Linked DNA regions of Danio rerio. The protein of the gene in region 1 interacts with the protein of each later gene in a biochemical or structural test. Links are inferred from orthologs where the notes say so. Each region holds a gene or a part of one and is shown on either strand. Other genes may lie near its edges.

Region 1 (6,629 bases):
CTAACGGCCATCAGCAGACTATTAAGACGCGCATTTGCCTACAAACATGTCTGACATGTGACAACTATGAGACTCCTATTTAGTTTAATTAAGATTAAAACAATTAACGGAGGGAATGAGGACGTTTAATAATTAAACTTTATTCAACATTTAAATGGTCATTGTTTCTTTACATTTGTGACTGTCGTTTTTTAAAGTGCTAAATCTTTGTAGCAATATTTCATTTATAATATCTCCATACTATTCACGTTTTCTCTTTATTTTTGGCCAAATAGTCTAAATATAAAACACACCTTCATACATAAATACAGTAACACATGTAACGTTAAGAGAAGGCAACCAGTTATATATATATATATAAAAAGTTGTGTAACTTTCCAAACCGAGTGAATATATGCAATTATATTTTTACTCATAAAACAAAACAAATGAAGTGTTCATAATGGTTGGCTATGTTCTGTTTTGCTGGGAAAATGGTTTGGTGGATCTGAGCTTATTATCTGTGTTATTTGATTCCAGTGACGCTGATGTAAACAAAGGAAATCATATGAGCGCGTGAGTCACAATCAGGTGATAAACCACGCCCTTCAGCCATGACAACATGCTTTCCCCAATCAGATGCGTGAGGACACTTCGAGAATATTAGAGAATACAGAGTCACTCCAGGGAAATTTGGAGTAATAAGAGAGCATGTCAAAGTTGAACGTGATGTGTCACTCTCACCTGTATACTCATATCTAGTCTCCTTTTTTCTATCTCAAATCACATTGCAGTCATATGGCCAAAACATCCAAGGTCATACAAATCCTAATTAATTAAATAATAATGATGATGATGATGATGATGATAATAATAATAATAATAATAATAATCTTTCTTTTTGGAAGGTTTCATGAACCCGTGTTCTGTATCTTGTTATGCATAATGTAGTAAGAGCTTCTTTATGCTGTCTCACTGTTGGAGACTGCATGTTGTAGCCTTGTTTTAGAAAGGAGCTATATAAAAGAAACTTCTTCATCTTCTTAATGTTATTGATAATGATAATAATAATAATTATTATTATTATTGTTGTTGTTGTTATATCAATAAATGTGGATAAATCAAAGTTAATGTATGTGTAGATAAATAAAAATAAGGATATTAATATTTGTATATAATAATAATTATTACTACTAGTACTAGGCATATAATCATTATTACTCTAATATTGCTGCTGTTGCTGTTTTAATATAATATACATATCAATGAACAATAATGCATTTACAATTTAATTAATATTTGTTATAACATTGTTACTAAACTACTAATACTAGATTGTCATCATGTACATTAAACATTTGTAATCTCTATATACAGACATACACACATACATATGTGTGTGTGTGTGTGTGTGTGTGTGTGTGTGTGTGTATGTATGTATGTATGTATATATATATATATATATATATATATATACATATATATATATATATATATATATATATGTGTGTGTGTGTGTGTGTGTATATGTATATATATATATATATATATATATATATATATATATATATATATATATATATATATATATATATATATATATATATATAATGAGGTTGTGGTGAGTAAAATGGTTATATATGGTAAGAAAAATCTGAAAAAAAAACGGATGCATTAAGCATTGGCAAATTGTTGTTTCCTTATTATAAACAACGTAAGTTTGGTAGTGTAATGTTTCCTAGAGGTTTAAGCTTAAAATTTGATCAGTATACATTTGACAAACATTTCCTAAGGAAATGGCGACTGCTACTTCATTCATGATGACGCAGCACTTTGTTTAGCACCTGTAGCAGAAACACAACACCTCTTACCAACCACATCAAACTTGCAGGGCTTAGTAGAGCTTGTATTATGAGAAACTGGATTTCAAACAAAGCAACCAAGTTTATCTTGTACTAAAACAAAAATATTACCACACATTTGTATATGTAGGCATTTAAAAAAATGGATGTGGGTAATGTTTAACAGTGAGACTGTTACAGTATAGCAGAAGAACTTTTGTTTGATATTCACTTCTTAAAACAACTAAAATTAAGCCAAATAAATCTACAATTTGTATAAAGTATTACATGACATCCAGAACATGTATGTTTATAGCCCTTGAATATAACACTGCGTTTTTTGGCATTAATCCACTCCTATGATTTCAGCGGGAATTTCCCCTATCATATTGCCATGTCATTCCTCGGATCACCGAAAATCGTCCATTCTGTTTTCAAATGTGACTCACATGATCACAGACAACATGAACTCCGTCCTGCAATGACGCTGGACGTGGACATCTTTCTGCGAAGACACGCCCCCAAACTTGCGCTCCTCTCAACGATTGGCCGGCTCCTCGGCTGCATTAGCATTTGACGTACAAGGCTTATATACAGCACTGTCGGCTGAAGTAGGAAACGCATTTTCACGCAGCCAACGCAGAGTCCCGTGCTCGAGAAACGCATTTTCTACTGCGCAACACTTCCAGAGGTTCAGGGAGAGAAGCTATTTTCCGCTACGATGTCGATGACAGTGAAAGCTTACCTTATCGGTAAGGAGGACTGCAACAAGGAGATCCGTCGCTTCGCCGTGGATCAAGATGTCTCAACAAGTTTCGAGTATTTGCAGCGAAAAGTGCTCGATGTTTTTGTCGGTCTCAGGACTGCGCCCTTCCAAATGTACTATAAAGGTGAGTCAAATTTGAATTCTGAAATGTTTTTTTTTAATAACACTGATTTATTGCACAAGCAAGTGTGTGTTTGTGTCGTCTTTCAATGTTTTACTTGAAATGGCGGTTTATATTTATCTACGTTACTTGAAGTTTTAATAAAATTTCACGAAGCGATATTAGAAATAAAAAACTTGAGGAAAACGCACATAAATGTACATATTGAGAAACATAGTTTGCAGATTTTTATGTCTTTCTATGTTCAGTATTACTGAGCCATTAAAATGGATACTGCATTGTGAAACATCTTTGTTTATTGTTACATCCAAGTACAAAGTTTGATGGGGAACGTTTGTACTAGGCCGTAATAAACAAGCCATGAGCATAATATTTGAAATCCACTGTGCTTACTGAAAAGAAAACAGCAAAAACTTTTGTTATTGTTGTGTGTGGTAATCAACTTTTAATCAGACAAAACATGATGACAATCATAATAACCAGCAGAAATGCCATTCTGTTTTCCTGAACTTTGTCTCTAGATGAAGATGGTGATATGATTGCCTTTTCCTCTGACGATGAGCTAATGATGGGTTTGGCTCTTGTGAAGGATGACACTTTCCGTCTCTTCATCAAGCGTAAGTAACATACACAAACTATAACTACCATTTTAGGAAGGGGTTTCGATTATTTAAGAATATTATGTTATACCTGTAAATATAATTTCCTGCACATATTAAATGATCATTAGACTTAAAGGGATGGTTTAATCAACAATGAAAATGTACTCGCCCACTGAAGTAGTTATAGAATTTCTACATTTTGAAAAAAAAAAAATATATAAGTGCTGTCTGGAATTTCTCAGCCTCTTTTATGTTGAGAATAGTTTCTATAAAAGTGAAATTGCTGAACATACACACAGGAGCCTAATAAAAAATGCTAATTTTAGAGGAAGCTGAAAACCAGTAACCATTGATTTCCATAGTAGGAAAAACCATTTTTTTCTTTAGCTGAAGGGGGAAAAAAGTCAAGGAAGGGTGAATTTTTTTTGGGATGAACCATGTCTTGAATTTGCTTTTGGAATGTATCTGTTGCAACTTTTTATTACTCGCCGCAAACAAACTTTAGTTTGAGTTTAGCATGTTAGATGGTAATTTTAATATCTATGTTTGTTAAAAATAAATATCAAAAAACAAAACGACTGTGTTAAAGGTAGCAGTTAGGCTAGCAATACCTCATAAGGGTCAAAGACGTGGTTTTCATTTCTTTTTCCAGATCTATGAAGTCACTAAAATACTTTAGAAGTTCGCATAGACCGTGGCTTCAGTGTGTGTTTGTCAGGGCTGCATGATGTTAGGGGGAAAATAATCGAATCTAAAATAATCCTGTATAGTATTTATTCTATAAATAAAATACTGTTAACCTTTAATATTTTATTCAACCTAAATTCTGTAAATATGCCTATATTGTTTACAGAGTAACAGGCCTTAAAATCCCATGCAAATTATAAACTTTCACTCGTGATTGTCACGGTTTACAATTAATTCACACATTGTATTTGTTTTGTGATGCCTTTGCTACCGCCTTACTTTAAATCCTGCAGTTTGACTATCGTGAATGTACACACAGTGAAGTGTCAATAATGTGTGGGTGGTGCAACTCTTTGGGACTTTAAGTGTAAATGTAAGCCTAAATAGAATCTACAAATCCATTTTGTTGTCACAAGGAAACCATAAACGGGAATATCAGAGCGAACCTAACAAACAATCATATTTGGCTGCATCCAAAATCACATACTCTCTGTAGGTGGTGCTTTTAATAACTAGCTTCAGGCGTGTTCTATATAGTATGAATGCAATCTGCACCGACTGCATTCACATTATATTTGTGAAGTGACGTAAAGTTACAAAAGACATCTACCAGTTGTGTTGCTCCGCTGCCATTCTCAAAACATTTCCATGATCTCATGGGAAGGTAAATTTTTCCATCTGATGCATTCTTTGGAATATTACTAGATACAGCGAATTCTGGCATGCTACTTTTTGAATGCATCCAAGTTAGTAGGCTTTGAAAACATTGTTGTTGCGTTATGAAGACTAGATTAACTCAGAGCAGTTGGAGTAATTGTATTTGTAATATCAAAGTGTATTCTTCATCCTTAACTTCCATGTGTAAGCGTTCTCTTATTCTCAAGCTGCTGAGACAAACTTACTTAGGAATAGAGAGAAGTCATGAGCTAAGAGCAAAAGGCGTAGTCAACCTTGTTGCTCTGGATGACGTCAGCATCTTTAATAACTATGCAAACAGTGATTGGTTGATGGGGAGTCTATCAGAGATTGATTCAATAAAACTTTGTAGAGAACAATATTTCGTTGCCCTATTCAAATAGGGGGGGGGGGGGTAAATATTTTTGAAAACCTTTTTCTTTCCATAAGGGAATACTAGTGAGGATCTTTTGTGAAGATTTTGATTGGTTCTTGGATTCACTCTTGTTATTTGAGTACTAGAATACTATAAAACTAAAACACCTGCCACTTACATGTGCACAGTTTATAAGGTTGGAAAGATTACATGATTGGAAAGAGCGTCTAATGATGACATTAGATTTAAAGAGTGTGAATACTTTTTCATCTTGGATTCATCATTACGTACTTTGACCATACAAGCCTTTGAATATCTCAGATCTTTTGCAAATAGACATCTTCAATTAATAGCAATTATGTTATTTCCTTCTTTTTCAGAACGAAAAGAGCACAAACGTGATTCTTCTCCTCATGGAATTCCTGGGTTTCCGTTCACTACACCTCACTTTAGCCCTCCTGGTCCCTGTCATATGGGTCCATCTCCAATGGGGCCTCCAGGACCACCTCATATGGGGGGTCCTCCTCACCACCCTCACCCAATGGTGCACCCAGGTGTGACCTGTGACGGGTGTGATGGGCCGGTGGCTGGAACCCGTTACAAGTGCACCGTTTGCCCCGATTATGACTTGTGCCCCACCTGCCAGAGCAAAGGCCTGCACAAGGAGCATGCCCTCCTGCCCATCTTTCATCCTATGGCCAACGTGTTTGAGGTGAATAGCACTATTTTACTACATACAATACACTGCAAATGATCTGAATATTTTGGTTTGATTAATCTTTTGTGTGCAGTGGCTCCCTCGTGGGAAATTTTGGCGTAAGATGAGACACTGCATGTGGGCAAATGCTCAAGCTCAGGCTCAAAACCAGCCTCAGCCAGGTCCATCTGGAGCGCAGCAAAACCAGGATGCTCCTGAAAACCCAAATGAGAATGGTAAGCCAATCATTTAAAAGGGTCTATAGCAGAAGTCAACTCAGCTCCTGGAGGCTGAAGTCCCTCCAGAGATTAGTTCCAACCCTGAAACTGAGTAGGTTGTGTGTTTTTTTATAGAAAGAAGAGTGTTTCTACAGGTGGTTTGTCAATCCCACTCACCTGTGTAAAGCACACTTCAAATGTAAAGTTTTTTTGTAATGTGTCTTATGCAAGTGTCGGTTAAAGTGTCAAAATGATGGAGTGTGATTTCTACAGGTAGTTTTGTCAAGCCCACTTACCTGTGTGAAGCAGGTTTGTTTAATTAGGGTTAAAGTTAAACTTTGTAGAGCTGTGGCCCTCAAAAAACTGAGTTTTACACCCCTGGTCTATTGTAACAGGAGGAACTGGAACAGAATTGGGGCATGTCCAAAATTTTCCTGACTTTATTCTTTTTTTTTAATTATTATTTTATAGGTGCTACTGCCTCTTCTCAGGCTAACGTGGAGTACCTAAAGAACATCGGAGAAGAAGTGGCAGCCATGTTAAGCCCCCTTGGTAAGTCGCCTGCTTTGGTCTTTCCCAAATATTTGGTTCCAACACAATCTGATACTTCTTTGATTGGCATGTTAGGCAAAACCTCTGAAATAAAAGTGATTTTTCCTTTGTAGGC
Region 2 (6,104 bases), on another chromosome or scaffold:
GTAGGGAGAATAAAGTATATTTAGTGGCACATTTTGTATTTTTTCACTTTCATTAACATCCGTAAAAAAATGTTTGTATACGCCCAATATAACCAAACATCTGTGATCCATTAAGTAGTGGAAAATCTTCTCTCGTTTAACCGTTTCATTCTGTGTTGCTGAGAACTGTGAACACTCCCACAAGACGTCCCTCTCACGTGCTCTGCAGACCCACAGAGATGTTCCTTTTAAGGATTAAATCTCCTAAAATGTCCGGGATTCAACTTTGGCTTTTGCTCTCTAAAGCTTGTATATGTTTTTTGCATCGCCTTTTTACGTAAGCCTACTTTTTACTTGGCTTCGCAGCTGACTGTGCATGCACAGTAACCAAAGAGAAACATTAAATAATTAATTTTTCTTTTTATCTAAATGACTCACTGAAAAACTAAAACGAAAAACTTTACTATATACTTAGAGAGGGTGAAATGTCTGGTCTAAATAAATGCACGTTTTTAGTAATGATTAAAGGTGCAGTAGCTGATTGTCTTCTGAAAATTATTTTGTTGTGCTGGTTAAAAGTCTCTTCACAGTCCAATTCACCTTATTCTTTGCCGACGAGCGGGCGCAGCCATTTTAATCTTTTTGGCTCGAGACTTCCGTTCACTTCCATTCATTTTTAGACATAAAAAACTGCTCGTTTTGCTGTTTGATGTTGCAAACTGATATTTTCTTATTATATTCTTCTACTTGGTCTGTATAGTCATGCAAACATTTGTTTGTAGAGCAAGTAGTTGGACCGTTTTCTTCCATTTATTATTCGTAGTCATTTCTCCCATAGGCGACTGAATCGGAAGTTCTAAAACAATCGTGAAAACAGGCGCACTTACTAAACTGGATAAACTAATAAATGTTCATCCAGTTAAATATTGTCGGGCCGACATCTCCCATAATTCCAATAAGTAGCTCAAACTGTCTGTCAACAAATGCAGATTTGGCTTTTGCGCATCTGTTCACGCATATCCGCCATTAGCGTGTGCACACATAGATAATCGTTCATGACAAAAGCACATGAGACAGTCACCTCTGCGGCAAAATCAAATGCTGAATTGAAACTTTTTAAACTCCTGAATGAATATTGGAGTTACTTTTGCACGCTGGAGAAAGGACGATACTATGGCTAAAGTATTTCTGTTAGACAGGTAATGTTCTGTTTTAAAACTATTTTAGCTTCACACAAAGCTGATGCAGATGTTGTCGCTTCAAATGGGTTATATGCACAGAAGTGTTGTTCACCCACTGAAATCCTTGATTAATATGAGTATTTTCAGTTTCATAAGGAACTTTTACAGCATTGATGATGTAGATTCTTCTTTAGTTTAACAACAAAACAGAAGTAAATAGCGCTATTCCGCCTAGCCTGCTATACTGAGCTGAAGTTGGTTTTATATTCACATTGGGTCATTTCTGAACAATGACAGCCATTCTGAACAATGACGCCCTGCCGATATTGTTTACCTCTACTCTGAATATTCATTTTGAAATAGCATGCAAGTATGGCTAAGTAATAAGTGTAATTCCTGCACGCCGCGAGCCAACCACTACATACACTTCTAACTGGCGAATGACATAAGCTAGTGGGTTGTCTGCTGTCGTGTTGCTATGCGTGCGTTCGCAATTTCAAGAGGCGTGGCTTTAAAACAGTCCCCTGCCGCCCAAAGCTAATATGCTAACCGATTAGCATTTTGGCAGATCACCTACTGCACATTTATCAACGCATTTGCCTTATTTAAATAATCTACAAGTTTTAATCTTGTAAATATGACAATTTTTAGAAATATTGTCTGTTTTTAGAGATATTGTCTGGGGTTAGGGTTTGATGAAAAGTACTCAAGCCGGGATTCGAACTCGGAATGCCCTCAAGTGCTACGGCACTATATGTCAGCGCGCTAACCACTAGGCAATTGCGCTGATTAAATTAAATTTTTTAAAACAGAATAATGGATCACTTTAATAAAATACTGACGTGCAGATATGGTACACGGCACTATATGTCAGCGCGCTAACCACTAGGCAATTGCGCTGATTAAATTTAATTTTTTAAAACAGAATAATGGATCACTTTAATAAAATACTGACGTGCAGATATGGTACAACAAAAGAATTAAAATATTAATAATACACAATAAATGTATAATTCATGAATAACATTTATCAGGAACCTGTATATGCGAGTTCTTCAGAAGAGCGTTGAGTTTTTTATACTCGTGTGAAGCCAAATCGTTGCGTCCAAAAGAAAAACTGACAAGCCATCGGTGATGGGCCAATTTATGCTGAAATGACAAAGTTAAAGAACATATTTAGACAATTATAAAAGTAATAAGGTATATTTCACGAAACTTCCAAACAGAGCCACACAATGATATCTGATCTAGTTAGTGCGTGTCAGTTAGTGTGTAAACAGAGAGATACTGCAGGTAGTGCTGGGTGTGGTACAAGACTACACTCACTCGACTGCAAACACAAACCTATTATGTACAGCCTTTCCTTATTCTCTTGATATGCATTGCAGTCACTTGCACTCTTACCTCAAAACTGCTCTTTGTGAGAATCTCCAGGTCAGGAAGATGCTGCAGAACTTGTGCATATATTTCTTTAGTATCCAAACTCTGAATAAACTGCAAGGTTGGTCAAAATTTAAATGAAAAACACCCAATTAGATCCGATCAATTAGAAAACAATGCATCTAAACAGGATATACAATAATTTACCCACCAATACACTGCCTTTCTGAGTGAGAGAACTGCCTGGAGGGAAGAGGGCTGTAGTGCTGGTATTGATTTCAAAGCTCTCACACAGATCCGCCTGTTTGGTGCAGTCCATCCATCCTACATTAACTAAACCGTCCTGTATTGTAGAGATTACAATGTTCATTTATGCTCACATGACAGTAAGAGCCATTATTAAATGTTTAGACATTGGAATTGAATTTAGTAAAACAGGGAACACTTACCAACATTCCTGCTAGCTTCCGTCTTGTCTGTGATTCCAAACAGTCTGTGAATGAATCTCGTTTTAGTGATTTTTTAAAAGATGAATAACAGGGATTTCTAACATTATTTCTAACATCTAACAGGATTAGTTGTAGTCTCACCTCCAGTGTCTGCACAAAAAGTTATCAACCAGCCGATTCTTTCAGCAAATGCTCGCTCAATCTCACTATAAATGTTGCCTAAAAATTAAATACATTATTAAATACACAGACAATGCTCAGCATGAGTCAGAGGCAGTACAATATTACAGCAGATAATAATATTTTTAGCTTCTGGTACTGTTCACTTGGCCATTTTATTACATGGAATGAATATGCCAGTAGGTAATTTACAATATTTATACACAAAACATTTCTGTAGTTTTAAAACTGGGATAAACACATAACATGCTAAGTAACACTTAGCACTACATAAAATTTATCAACAAAAAAAAATTTGTTAATTTAGCATTTAACCCCTTAATAAATACACCACTTTCATTATACACTCATTGGCCACTTTATTAGGTACACCTTACTAGTAACGTATTGGACCCACTTTTGCCTTCAGAACTACCTTAATCATTCGTGGCATAGATGCAACAAGGTGATGGAAATATTCCTTAGAGATTTTGGTCCACATTGACTTGAAAGCATCATGCAGTTGCTGCAGAATTGAAGGCTGCACATCCATGATGCAAATCTCCCGTTCCACCACATCCCAAAGGTGCTCTATTGGATTGAGTTCTGGTGACTGTGGAGAACATTTGAGTAAATTTTCTCTGTTTCAGACCGTTCTCTGTAAACCCTAGAAATGGTTGTGCGTGAAAACTCCAGGAGATCAGCAGTTTCTAAAACACTCGCCCGTCTGGCACCAACAAAAATCACTTTTTTCAAAATATCCCCATTCTGGCATGTCTTGACCATGTCTACATGCCTAAATGTATTGAGTTGATGCCATGTGATTGGCTGATTAGAAATTTGCATTAATAAGCAGTTGGACAGGTGTACCTAATAAAGTGGCCAGTTAGTGTAAATAACAGAATCATAACAATCTCAAAAGAACATTTAACTAAAACACTTGCATTAACTCTTTATTTACTACATCACCTTTGGCTTTAAATGAAAATATAATTATAGTATTAAATACCTTGCCATAGTTCCGTCACTTTACTCTTCACAAACTGCATTGCAAATTTGGTAAGGCTTGATTTTGTTCTGTCATTGAAGTATTTCTCAGGATTCTGTTGGCAAGATTATGTTTATTATTTTGGATGACTACAGACATTAAACATATAAATGAATATTACATTCATTCTGTACATACACATGAATTGCATACTAATATATAATTTGAGCATCTATAACGCAATGTGTGTATCTGCAATAGCTAAATCGCAGGATTAGATTATTTATTAAAGATTAAAAGATATTATTAAATATAATTTATTATTATTAATACAATGATGACCATAATAATTTACATTTGATTGTTCAATTTCTGTACTTGAATACTGTTAGACTCCCCAGAAAATCATAAAGCACTGTTTAGTTATAATTTATGCTGATGCATAGCATAGAAAAAGTCTTGATCCTTCCAGGTGATATAAATGAAATAATTCCAAATAGAGCTAATTATATTAATTCATATTGCAATAAATATAGCATAAAGACTAAATATTGCACTGTAAGATTTTTCCAATATTGTGCAGCCCTATGGAAAATGCTCTTACCATTCCTGCTCTGAACACATAGAGGCTGGGGTAACTGTTGATGCCTTTACTGCGGCACAACATGCCATTATCACCACAGTTCACAGCACCTATCCGAATCACACCGTCCATTTCCTTAGCAAACTCCCGCCACTGTAGGGTTGATTCACACGTCAGTCAGATACAGTACAGTGTGACTATAATAATGAAACGTGTGAGGAGAAAGTGATTGTAAGTGGGAGAGAACAGAATTACGCACCGTAGGGGCAAGATCGTGACAGTGTGAGCAGCGTGGGAAATAGAAATTCACGAACCAGACCTCCCCAGAATTTACAGCTGCATCTGTGGATAAAGACAAAACCGGTGTGTCAACACTTAAACACTGGCAGAAGCTGCTCAGGAATCTATTTGACCACTGCAAGATCAGCTTAAAAGAGGTCATGGGTGCGTTTTAGATCTAACTTGATAATTAACAGGCTGTTGAATTGAGTTTTTGTCAATAAATACTAAGCACATTTCCCCCTCCAATTCTCATTGGTTAGTATTAAAAAGACAATAATATTTCTTTTAGTTTGCCTGAAACAATTTAGTTTTATTTAAATTTAAAAACTGCTACAATCAATATTTTTAGTCCCCATTAAAATTATATACATACGTTTAAACACACAAACACACATACATAGTTCTTTTTAAGAACTTTCGTAATTAACATAATTAACTTCAGATAATACTTTAAACTGTCCTTTAAGCAGAATACTAGTAATTTATTTAGCCAAGTAACTAGTAAAATATGACATACTGTCATCATGGCAAAGACTAAAGAAACTAGTTATTAATATGCTGAATTAAATTCATTACAGGCCGATAGCGTTGCCTTTGCAACCTTACTGGCTAGACGACTTATTCTTATGAATTGTAAAGTCAGCAGCTCCCCCTTCTTATCGGCAATGTATTTTTGATTTCCTGCATACTTTTTGGATGGAAAAGATTCGATTTGCGATAAAACAAAAGCCAGAACAGTTCAAGTCTGGAGCCCTTTTCTAAATTTTTTTAAGGAGACCTTAACCTTAATCGAGGATCTTAATTGCCTTTCTATCTTTCTTTTCTTTTTATTATTTCTTTTTATTTCTTTATTCTTTTATTTTTGTTATCTTATGTTTGTATATCTTTGTGTATAAATGTGGAATTTTATCTTTATTTATATACTTGTCTTATATGTCTGACCAAAGATGAATCTAATAAAAAAAAAGAAAAAAGAAATTAGTTATTAAAACGTATAAACAAAAATTAAAAATGTCTTTCTGTTAAACAGCACTCGGGAAATATTTAAAAAAGTATTACAATTTCACATGAGGATGAATAATTTACTGTGTGTGTGTGTGCAT
Region 3 (6,104 bases), on another chromosome or scaffold:
ATTTTAATATGTTTATAGTAACACTTTAATTGTAAAGTTTTATTTGTTCATGTAATTAACATTAAATACTGTAATAGCATTTAAAGCAAAAAATCCATGTTGCATGAGTGCATTTATTTACCTTATTCTTCATGAACAAGCGGTTGCAGCCATTTGAATCTTTTTGACTCGAGACTTCAGGTCTTATTTACCTCCATTCATTTTTAGACATTAAAAACAGCTCATTATAATCACGCACATATATTTTGGGAATGTCTGAAAATACGTGCATTTTGGCAAGGGGTAAAGATTGAGATAATGAAAATTCTGCAGATAGATCTACCTTTTAGTCCCCTGTTTTTCTTGCTTGAAGGGATACCCCAGGATATATATAATAAAAAACAGAGATATATACTACATATACTTTTACTCAGTGCAAGAAAGACCATAACAATAAATTGGATGAAGCCACACCCTCCATCAATAGTACAGTGGATAGAAAAACTTGAATGTATATATAGAATGGAGTATATGACTGCTCAACTTCAACTAAAACTGGATATTTTAAACAAAGATGGGCACCTGTTACATTGTATCTGAATAGGACATAGAATTTCTAGCTCCTTTGAAACTGAAAATATTGTACGTTTGTTTTTGTTTTTTTGTAATTTATTTTGATTTACATCTGCGGCTACTGTGATTTTTTTTTCTTTTAATAATCACTGCTGTCACTGAATGTTCTGTTCTGTAAAATGTTTTAATGTATAAAAATAAAGTAAAAAAAAATAAAAAAAACAGCTCATTAGGCTACTTGATGTTACAAACTGCTATTTTTTGTTATGGTATTCTACTTGGTTTTACAGCAAGTAGTTTGATTGTTTTCTGACATTAATTATTTCTACTCACTTCTCACATGAATCAGGAGTTCTAAAACAATCGCAAAAACGAACACACTTCCACGTCAAAGAATAAGGTCAATGCTTTTTAGGTTTAGTTTGATTAAAAGAAACTGTGATAGTTGCTATGTTGGAATAAGTGTACATCTTAATGAGTCAGTGACTGTCTGAGATCTGTCCCCCGCAGAAAATATGATTTAAAAGGCACAGTTTGTATTGTAAATAACAAGGCTTTTTGTCCGTAGAGAGAAAACTATGTAACCATTGAGCAGCTCCTGTAAGTAAGGTTACTGTTGTCTGTTTTATTTTCTAAATGAAGTGATTTTTCTCTTTAATACAGATGTTGCCAGTTTATTCCATAATATTGTTATCTGTTTGACAGTAATGTCTATCAATGAGATGGGTTTGGACATTTAAAAAACGTAAAAAATCTGTATTGATTGGTCAATATGTTTTTTTTTTCAACCTTTTGACAGCTCTTTTAATTTGAAATAAAAAAAAAATATATATATTTATTGTCCCCCTGTTGGTTAGGGGTGTAACCGATCACGGTTTGTTAGTGATCTGTACAGATCACAACCCACAGTTCGGAACGCACATGTTTAATGACGGATTAATAACTTTTGAAACTTGTAGGTTAATCCAACATTTATAACAATTGCAGACAGATTGCCTCGAGTGTCATTCAAATCACATGTATGAAAGCATCATGGCTTCCTTGTGAAATATAATGATTATGGATTACGGTTGTGGTGGGACCTACGTAAATGCTTTCTTAGGTTATTAATTAAAAGTGTTTTCTGTCACTGTTTAGCCTGAATTAATGCATTCAGTGTAAAGTGCTGCATTCAGATCTGTGTTTGACCGAGAGAGATTCAGTTTTTACACTTTCAGTTCGTTACAAGCAATTAAATAACACGTAAGTACTGGGAGAAGAGTTTATAGTTCAGATATAGACACTGATGTTTATGGTAAAGACTGAAATCCGGTTTTAAAAAATGATAAAACTTTAATGAAACATGAAACTTTAAGTGTGAATTGTTGAATCATTAATTGAAAATAAAGATGATTTTCTGTACAATATGTTATATTTATATATTTAGCATCATCAGCAAAAGTAGCAAAGATCATTTTTCGTATTCAATATTTTCCTTTTTTTCAGCCGGTTGTTTTTGATTTTAGATTTTTATGAAAATTAAAGGTTCTAAGTTCTGTTTGTTAAAACCAGTGGCTTTTGCACTAATATTTTTGCATAAATTGAAAGCAATTGACATTTGTCTCCTTCCTTTTTTTGATGATCCGAAAAATGGTCCGATCCGTGACTCAAAAACTGTTGTGTCATCTGAACCTGGTGCAGTATAACTTAAATGAATGTAAAATCTGGCAGTCTTAATGTGCAGCAAACACTTGTTTTTTTAATTGTAGTCATGATGTTGCCAGGTATAGTTTAATACCAGAGTCGAAAATGCTGCAATGTTAGCATTGGTAAAAAGTGCCACAGACCGCATATTTACCATTTTGGAAGTTATATATTGAATTGTGTTTTTTTTTAAAAGATGCTGGAAAGTTTAAGGTCATATTTTAAATGTGTTAGAGTTATTTTTTAAAAAGTGTGGTGTCATTTAATGATCATTGTTTGCTTAATGTAGTGTCAACTGACATTCTATAAGCTCATCAGAACTATAAATTGTTTGAAGTTAAAACAAAGTATGAGCTAAACTAGTATGAAAGCACCTTAAATGATGACATCATTTCAGCGAACTTTTCCCTTTAATACACCTATTGTTTGCTTTAAAGGAATGGTCATATTTCCTTGTGTGCTATTCCTAGTATAGTACTTGACTTCAGTCCCCGTAAGCTTCCTTACAAATTCAGGTTCAGAAAATCGTGTTTGAGTTTCTTGTAAGTCGTATTTGACCATGGGACTGAATGTTTGCTCATCATGCTTGTTGTTGTAAAAGCAGTGTGTACTGATCCATGTATGCCCTACAGAGGAATGTGGCTTCGCTGCTTCCTTTCAGAGATGCTGCGCTTTCACAGGATGCATCTCTCACTACTAACATAGTGGGCACAAAACCTTCAGTTATATGCCAGAATATTGTTATATCGTTTATGCAATGATAAGAGTAAATCTGTCTCTCTCTGTAAATATGAACTAAACACTAGTAGTTTAGTAATGCGGAGCTATCATAATCTCAGAGATATTTGTCACAGGACATGCATAACTGCCTTTTATGTCTCGTACAGTAGCTTAATCGTAATAGTCCTGGATCAGATAAAAGCAGCACTTTTTTTTTTTTTGTTCGTCATAAGGTGATGTGTGGGATGGTTGCAGTGGCCGCTCGCAGGCATGTGTGGGTCAGTGCACTGGCTCGTAGACAGGAAAGACTCCCTGCTGTTAATAATTAACCAAAACAGTGTGAACTCGGTAGACAACAGAGAGTAAGAAGCTGCTGTGTGCCTCCTGCTATGGGAATATGCTAGTATTACAGCTTCCTTGAAACTCGCCATCTCTGATACTCCATGTACTGTGTTTTTGGTCTTAAAATGTACTAATATAGTATTTAGATTTCTTTTATTATCACACACAAAATTATTTATCATATTTTTAGGAGGGCTGTGCATTATGATGGTATAGATATATATCGAATGGTCATAAAATAAAAAATGTTACCCTTTATTGTTTATTTCTTGGTGTAATAAATTATATTGTACACAGTCGTACTTTTTCATACTTTATATAAGCACAATATTGCATGCTGTTACAGGGATGCAGATAGAAACATAAATAACCAATGCTATCTCTAGATAATTCAGAAGTTTTTGATTTAGTGGATGGGGTGGGAATTCTTACAATCTCACTGGTACAGTTAAGTACAATTTACTCATCCCCCAATGATGTTGTGTTTAGGGGTGGGGTTGGGTACCATGACTGACAATGCAATTTGGAAACAAATGATGGAAGAATAAGTCAACATGCCTCAATGAAGAAAAAGTTCGAAGTGCATTTTTGATGCATAATAAGTTATAATGTAAATTACTCTGCTTGTAAACCTGTAATCTAACATTAAGTTTGGTTCATGTGATCAGCCAGATAAGTGAGTACCGATCAAATCTGATCTCCAGCCGATTGATCAGTGCATCCCTAATATATATTAGAGAACTATTAATTGATTAAATAAATTTTTCCTCTCGCCCCACCTTAATTTTTCAAGAGTAGGGCTGCACAATATATTGTTTTAACATTGATATGGAAATATGTACATCTGTAGTAGTCAGATTGCAGGATCTGCAATGTTGAATTTGTGAATATAGTTTACCATGAGCCACAGTTATTGAAGATTTATTCCATAATAAAGCAAAAGTTTTTTATTTGCATGTGTTTTTCAGGCCTGTGATTAAAGCATATCAAGAGAGTTTAAAGCATTCAGGCATGAAAATTGTACCAGTCTTTAATAAAAAATATTCAATTGATTTATTTATGCAATGAAATCTAAGCACTGCTATTTTACATTTGATTAAATTCTGTATATGGTTTCATACCAAATCGAGGTATTTAAAGTCATCTGGGGAAATTATATACACATCACAGAAAAACAAAACATTGCATTGTCAGATTTTTCTAATATCCTGCAGGCCTAAAATGTAGGATTTTAATGAATGTCACTTTTTTTTCTGTTTTAGGGACATCATGATCACACATTTTGAGCCTTCGATCTCCTATGAGGGACTCTGCAATGAGGTGCGTGATATGTGCTCCATGGACAATGACCAGCTCTTCACCATGAAATGGATTGATGAGGAAGGTTTGTTGTTTCATTTTTGTGTCTCTTTGCTCTATTCACAGTAGGTGTTTGCATCTGTCTCAGGTGATCTGATCTCAGTCAGTCGAGACAGATTGACATTTACTCCTGGTTAACATGAATCTCCAGTGACTTCTTTAGATCAGGTTTCACTAAAGAGAACCTCTCACTCGTTTCATGATTACACACAGCTTGTTAAACCAAAGAGAGCTTTTACTTGTTAAAACTGAATTTTGGCTATTACAGTTAATTGACCCATTTTTCTAAATGAGCTGTTTTATAGGCTATCGTCTTAGTTGCTTGAGAATAAGGGTCACTTCATGAATAGTTTAATGTTTATTTTACTGTTTAACAATAAAATGCACTTTTCGATGTTATACTAATGCTGAACGGCCATATTAGTGCCAGAATTAATTCAAGACATGATTTTGCTTGCTCCTAGTTGATTCAATTTAGGTATTAAACATAGCAATACTCAGATAGGCTGTGGTGTTCATACGATGCTCGATTGGTACTAATGGGCCCAAAGTGTGCCAAGAAAATATCCCCCACACATTACACCCCCACCACCAGCCTGAATCGTTGATACAAGGCAGGATGGATACATGCTTTCATGCTGTTGACACCAAATTCTGACCCTACCATCTGAATGTTGCAGCAGAAATCAAAACTCAGAGCAGGCAACATTTTTCCAAACTATATTGATGAGCCTGTGCAAATTTTAGCCTCAGTTTCCTGTTCGTAGCTAATAGGAGTGGCACTCAGTGTAGTCTTCTGCTGCTGTAGCCCATCTGCCTCAGATTTGACGTGTTGTGCGTTCAGAGATGTTCTTCTGCATACCTCAGTTATAATGACTGGTCATTTGAGTTCTGTTGCCTTTCTATCAGCTTAAACCAGTCTGGCCATTCTCCTCTGGCATCAACAAGGCATTTGCACCCACAGAACAGCTGCTCACTAGATGTTTTTCCTTTTTCAGACCCTTCTCTATAAACCCTAGAAATGGTTGTGTGTGAAAATCCCAGTAGATCATGTCTGAATTCTTTCAAGACAAGTTCATTCAATTTAGACATTAAACATAATAAATTTTTGTTATTATCATATTTTAATATGTTATTGCATCTTATGCAATATGTAATTTTGTGTTGTATGTCCTGGATGCATCAGCATTGATGATATAAATAAAGTGTGTGTGTTTAACTAACCACAAATGGGATTCGAGTCATCACAAAATCTTTTGCACTTTATTTGAACCTGCATTTAGTGCTGTCCGCTTGATCAAATCCCTTGAGACAGATGTTAATGCCAGGTGTAAACGTGGCCTTTCCTTCTGTTTCTTTAACTGTCGCCGTAGCAACAAGCTTCCTCCTGCCATTCTGCTGAAGCGTCTGCCTCATTTGCACCAGCACTTTATATATTACAAATGAAG
Region 4 (6,104 bases), on another chromosome or scaffold:
TGAGAATTAGGTGAAGGGTGTTGTTCACATGCACATTTGACTTTTTAAAGCACCATTAATTTCAAATCAAACACCTTTGTAATTCCTACCCCAGCATATGTAGCCCCATAAAAGTTCATGCTGTAGTTCGCATTTCATTTATAATTAATATATTTCATAAAAAATGCCAAGAGTAATTTTGAAAAATCTACCATTTTAAAAGTTATGTTCAATTTAATACACTTTAATTTAATTCACTCTAATACAATTTGTAATACTGGAGACATTCAAATGCGGTAAACGTGCATTATGTCTGTTATTGTGCAAGATTTATAATTTAAAAACATCTCTGCTTTTTCATTCTGTTTTCGACAATTGAGTACAATTGTTGAAATGAAACCATAAACAAATTTAATATAAGCACTTTCAAGGACCTATGTTTGTTTTTAAGTATTTTCCGGGTCTTGAATCCATATGTCTGAAATTCAAGTATTTTTAAATACTTTCAAGTAGTGTAGGAACCCTGTGAGCACAAGACCAGCCTCTTAAAGATCATATAAAAAGCTTAACTAGAATAAAGAAATTATTAAATTTACTCTACCCTCAGACTACAAAAAGTGGTGGTCTGTATCAATTTTTTTACTCCTGTTTTCCAGTGTGTATGTCCAAACTCTAAAATCAAGATCCAAGCAAGGCTGCAACTAACAATTATTTTAATAATCGATTAATCTGTCGATTATTTTTTCGATTAATCAAATAAAAAGAAAAAAGAAAAGCAATCATTTGCAACCCTTTATTTAAAAATAAAGATATATAATAATAATAAAAAAACTAGTTTTGTCCTGTTTTCAATCCAAATATCTTAAGGTTTTTAAATGAAGATACATACTAGACACATAAAATAGCATAAGAAATCACTTAACCTCAAAATTAAGTAACAGCTTGCTTAAAACAGGAATGTCAAACTCAATTCCTGGAGGGCCGCAGCTCTGCACAGTTTAGTTACAACCCTAATTAAACACACCTGATCAAACTAATTAAGTCCTTCAGGCTTGTTTGAAACCTACAGGTAAGTGTAATGGAGCAGGGTTTGAACTAAACTGTGCAGGACTGTGGCCCTCCAGGAATTGAGTTTGACATCCCTGGGTTAAAACAAGCTAAATTATTTGCCAATGGGGTAAGAAAAAATATCTTAATAAGATATAATCTCAAACAAAAGTTATCAGTATCACTTCATTTTCTCATGCCCTTTTTCTTGTCTGTTCTTGATGGAAGATTTTTTAGATATTTAAACTGGAAACGAGACAAAATGACTAAAAAAACTTTTCTGCAGTGCAGCTATACATGACTACAGACGGAAAAAAATGGCGAAGTGAATAAAAATGTGTCTTTGGTCTTGAAATGCAAAGTAACTCTACCACCGCTGCTTTACTGCTGTTATTAACTCTTTCACTGCTGAGTTTAAAAGATTCTCTCTGGCCCGGGAGTCAGTTTTTTTAGAACATTTACCCTTAATGTTTCCATGGCGACGTACAGCCATGTATGACAGATGTATCCCTTTTATTTAATTTTTTTATTAGTTTTTAGTTTTTTTAATTCAACATATTTACACACTTGCTCATCATGTCATCAACTACCCAATATTCCAATTCACATAAACGTGTAAGTGATCGTGATCTATTGACCTTATTCTAAAATGCGGAAGTGCGCCTGTTTTCGCGATTGTCTTAGAACTTCCGATTCAGTCACCTATGGGAGAAATGACTAGGAATAATAAACGGCAGAAAACGGTCAAACTACTTGCTCTACAAACAAATGTTTGCATGACTATACAAACCAAGTAGAAGAATATAATAAGAAAATATCAAATTGCAACATCAAGCAGCATAATGAGCAGTTTTTAATGTCTAAAAATGAATGGAAGTGAATGAGACCGGAAGTCTCGAGCCAAAAAGATTCAAATGGCAGCACCCGCTCATAGGCGGAGAATAAGGTCAATAACGTGGCGCTGAACTCTGTATCAGTGCGCGAGAGACAGAGAGAAGCCGTGTGTGCACTCCGCTTCGCGCTGAGCTAAAGTTTTCATTATTTTTTTTTTTTTTAATCAAACGTCTCCATGTCGCGTGACACGACGAATCGATAATGAAATTTATTGCCAACGCTTTTAGTAATCGATTTTTATGGATTTAATCGATTTGTTGTTGCAGCACTAATATGTAGTCTTGTTTTCAGACACACTGATCTAAATCATGCGAGTTTAGGCGTCAACTCACTTTATTTTGTTAATTTTCTAATTTTCTCAGACATTTTTACTGCATCTAATGCGATAACGTCATGAAATAGAGGCTTTATTGCTTTAATTTTTGGAAGGGTAAATTTAGACTGCAAAAAAAAAAAAAAGATTAATTTAAATACTTTTTCTTTACAATTATGTATTTCAGATTTCTAAAATGAAACTATGCTCTTCAAATGTTATCAGTTTGCTTTATATCATATCTAAGAAAGATTTCTGTTAATTACAATAGTAATAATTTCATTTCATTCATGCATAAATTACCTTATTAGCCATCAGGGAGGAGTCTGGGCTGCTGTCAGAACTGCTTGGCTGTTTATGAGGCACTGGACGCAAAAACCTGGCATGTAAGAGAATGCAGTGCTTTTCATAACAGCTCTTTCATCACATTTAACAACAAAAACCAGGATGACACTGATGTACTTGGGCTCCACAGCAGCTACTCACTTCTCAATATCCCCCACACTTGGTTTCTTCTTAGCTGGCGTAGCTTCGGCAGGTTTGATGTTGCATGTTGATTCAGAGGCTGGTCCTGAATTCTGCTCAAACAACATAAAATAGATATTAAATAGCTCCAAATTCAAACCGTTTCAATGAGGGTCACAGAGCAAATGAACTAAACCATGCAGTATAAAACGGTCATTTATTAATGTCTGTTTAATGTCCATTATGATTTTTTTTTTACATGTTTGAGCAGAGAGGAGTGTGTCAGTGAACGTGTCTCGGCTCTTGTAATCTCACCAGTTCTAGGCTGAGCAGTCTGGCCAGTTTCTCATCGTTCTCCAGCTGCAGCTCTTCTTTGCGTCTCCTCTCTTCCTCCAAGCGCTCCTCTTCCTCTGCCAGAAGCCGCTGGATGTACTCCTCGCTGGCTCTCCTTTCAGCCTCCTCCAGGGCTCGCTTCTCCTCCACAAGCTGCACAAAAAAACAGGAAATCAGGTGATTAGATGAATTTTGACTTCATATGCGCTGGTGCACAAGACATTGCATTGTACATTAAAGAAAAAAAATCTGAAGGGGTCATATTATAAATTGTAAAAATTAAAATATATACATAAATAAAACTTTGAGGATGGACATTACTCACTACTATTTTTTGAGGTCAGGTAGGTTTTATTTTAAACCTAGCTAGCAACCAAATGTGATAGTGGCAGGGCTCGAAATTGCGACCATTTTGGTCGCATATGCGCCCGAAAATTTATCTATGCGACCTCATAATATATCTGGGAGCATTAGTGCGACTGCAGATAATGGTTGTAGTGCGACCTGTTTTGATTTTTTGTAAAAACGTGCTGAATCGCTCTTCCCTGCCGCTATATTGGTTCATATTAGCTGTCATTCACTCACGGTATTCCGCTGTCAGATGACAGGGAAGGAGCTTTTATGACCACGGGAAATGCAAACGGCTGAAGAGTGAAAACTTAAAGCACACAGGTTTGCAAACCCCACCTAAAGTTGAGGCGCAGATAAAAGCGATCATGACACGTCACGTGGTGAATAATGATCCGCCAGCTGAGATCAATCGAGTACGCGCTTCTTGGAGAAGGTGCCTGAATCTCCATGCGTTGCATTCACTGCGTGTTCAGCGCAAATGTCCGCTAAAAGTCAAATCTAATACTGTACATATCATCGCCAAAGAAGCTCGCCTTTACTAAGGTAACACTGAAACTGCGGCTCATAACAAAGACCGGTATTGCGCCGATGGTTAGCGCAAGAATCCTGCTCAACCTGCTCATAAATTGGGTCGGCTGACTCGCCAGCTTTTCCACAAACACAGAAAAATGAAGATCACCTTAGACTGAACCTTTAAATTGACACAAACTGAAACCAAAACTTTTAAAGAGTGATAGAAGTGAGACTTTACTTATTTTCTTTTGTCTATTCTTTTTTGAGGTGTATATTATTTTTTTATTTATTTACTGATGACTGCTTTGCAGCTTTCATCATTGAATTGAATGATTTATTATAATATTTTGTTTGTTTTGTAGCAGAAATATTATTTATTAAATTGACATGCATATAAAAACAGCAGTACAAAATAAATATTTCTTACTGCAATGCTTCATTTGTTTGATGCAATCTATACAATTATTTTTCATAAAGTAACAGACTTTTTATAGCAGATAACCTACATTCATGCACATTCAAGGCAGCACCATAATGAGAAATGAAATTCATTTTTACTATTATTGTCATTTTTTATCATCATTAATATTCTATGGCCTAATTATTAGACATTCATTTTGGAATTATTGCACACAAATATCAATGTCTTCACAGCATTAGTTAGATAGTTGTTTCTAGTTTTTGTCAGTCCTATTAATGTTGTTTTAAAATACAATAAATCCCTTAAAAAACAATTTGCAGCGGTGCTCATTCATTTTTGGTGGGTGCTCCTAAATATTTGAAGTTGGGAGCACCGGTGCTACCAAGTAAAAGAGTTAATTTCGAGCCCTGTAGTAGAGACATTTGTAATGTTACAAAGATTCCAATTAGATGAGCATGTTGAAATTATTTCTAGTTTCCTAAGGCTGCTTTCACACCTGTGAATCGATTCAGTTGTTCCGAAACAGAGATTACAATTGTTACATTGTTGCTCTTTGCTCTTGGAGCGGTTCGCTTTCACACTGCAAAGTTTCTAATCGGAACAAAAGAGCTAAAACAAGTCACGTGTGAGTAAACTCTCCTCAACTTGGTCAGAGTGTCAGGGTTTATTTTCCAGTGTCCCGCTAAACTGTCAGGAGAGGTGGTGGTTTGGTGGTGATTGACAGGGTGCGCACGCGACGTGTCTGAGGGGAGATGCGGTGGGGAGGGGTGAGAAGGGTGCGTGACGATGCCTATTTGAGGACCGGGAGGGAGACGCAAGATTACCGGGAGATCATCACTAATTGCGGGCATCCGGAGACCAGTGAAACTTCCCGCCATACTCGTAATGCTCTCTTCATATAGCCATATGCCTATTACATATCCATAAAACACTGTGATATAACCGCGCTCGGATCGGATCGCTTTCTCACTGCAATCAAACCGCTCCAGGGGTCGTTTCAATCGAGCCGAGACCACCTCATTCAAGCGATCTCGGAGCGATTACTTTGGCGCGGAACAGAGCGCGATTGCCCTGTTCCACGAACCGCGCTAACTAGGCAAACGAGACAGGTTCCGAAACAAAAGTGTAGGTGTGAAAGCACCCTAAGACTGAGGTAATAATGCTGAATTTAGCTCAATCACAGCAATAAATAAATCTGGAAAAAAAAATTTAATATTTTAAAAAACTAACTGTAATATTTTACAGTATTTTTATTAATCATATGGTTTGTATAGAAGACAAACTTTAAAAATCTTAAGGATCCTGAACTTGAAACTTTAATAAAAATACTATAGAGCTTCAAACTTTTTACTCCAATCATGTGTGCTGAAACAAAGAGTTTATGAATGAAACCTTTTACAAAGAATTTGAAAAAAAAAAATACAAGAGAAAAAAAGTTAATGATAATGACAATGCTAATTAATACTAATAATCATTATAATTACTATTTTTTTTTATTTAAAAAAATTGTCTGATTATCTGACTATGTATTCAAGTATAAGTATTGTTGGGGAATAAAAAGTCTGAAAGCCAAATTTGCACAAAAAAGTAAAAAATGTTTACATTCTTTATAAACGACACCGACTAAAATAAATTTCAGTACAACCGCTCATCAACAAAACACTAAATTGTAATATAATTAATATTTTAAATCCAGTGTTTCCCAACCCTGTTCCTGGAGGAACACCAGCTGTACATATTTTGGAAGTCTCATCTGACCCATTGACCCAGGTTTTTGAGTCGTCTGCT

What was found. The genes of interacting proteins can lie anywhere in the genome.
Region 2: the proteins of sqstm1 (region 1) and dnajc10 interact in a test that uses a peptide from one of them, tested with the Homo sapiens proteins (2 studies listed by BioGRID). The link is inferred for Danio rerio from reciprocal best matches to the Homo sapiens genes SQSTM1 and DNAJC10.
Region 3: the proteins of sqstm1 (region 1) and prkci form a complex in vitro, tested with the Homo sapiens proteins (4 studies listed by BioGRID, with this or other methods). The link is inferred for Danio rerio from reciprocal best matches to the Homo sapiens genes SQSTM1 and PRKCI.
Region 4: the proteins of sqstm1 (region 1) and rnf168 form a complex in vitro, tested with the Homo sapiens proteins (2 studies listed by BioGRID). The link is inferred for Danio rerio from reciprocal best matches to the Homo sapiens genes SQSTM1 and RNF168.

Annotation. Positions count from the first base shown.
Region 1 is NC_133189.1:19,139,237-19,145,865, forward strand, and holds the start of sqstm1 (sequestosome-1), read left to right. Parts: upstream 1-2,411; 5' UTR 2,412-2,541; coding exon 2,542-2,710; intron 2,711-2,985; exon of another isoform or gene 2,986-3,228; coding exon 3,229-3,324; exon of another isoform or gene 3,325-5,427; coding exon 5,428-5,759; exon of another isoform or gene 5,760-5,838; coding exon 5,839-5,980; exon of another isoform or gene 5,981-6,433; coding exon 6,434-6,514; exon of another isoform or gene 6,515-6,627; coding exon 6,628-6,629. UniProt on the Homo sapiens protein: Molecular adapter required for selective macroautophagy (aggrephagy) by acting as a bridge between polyubiquitinated proteins and autophagosomes.
Region 2 is NC_133184.1:46,686,405-46,692,508, forward strand, and holds part of dnajc10 (dnaJ homolog subfamily C member 10), read right to left. Parts: intron 5,062-6,104; coding exon 4,979-5,061; intron 4,873-4,978; coding exon 4,741-4,872; intron 4,252-4,740; coding exon 4,158-4,251; intron 3,209-4,157; coding exon 3,131-3,208; intron 3,034-3,130; coding exon 2,990-3,033; intron 2,884-2,989; coding exon 2,752-2,883; intron 2,655-2,751; coding exon 2,565-2,654; intron 2,310-2,564; coding exon 2,199-2,309; intron 1-2,198. UniProt on the Homo sapiens protein: Endoplasmic reticulum disulfide reductase involved both in the correct folding of proteins and degradation of misfolded proteins.
Region 3 is NC_133177.1:40,364,180-40,370,283, reverse strand, and holds part of prkci (protein kinase C iota type), read left to right. Parts: intron 1-4,559; coding exon 4,560-4,681; intron 4,682-6,104.
Region 4 is NC_133190.1:4,301,261-4,307,364, forward strand, and holds part of rnf168 (E3 ubiquitin-protein ligase rnf168), read right to left. Parts: intron 3,185-6,104; coding exon 3,014-3,184; intron 2,812-3,013; coding exon 2,720-2,811; intron 2,613-2,719; coding exon 2,537-2,612; intron 1-2,536. UniProt on the Homo sapiens protein: E3 ubiquitin-protein ligase required for accumulation of repair proteins to sites of DNA damage. Acts with UBE2N/UBC13 to amplify the RNF8-dependent histone ubiquitination.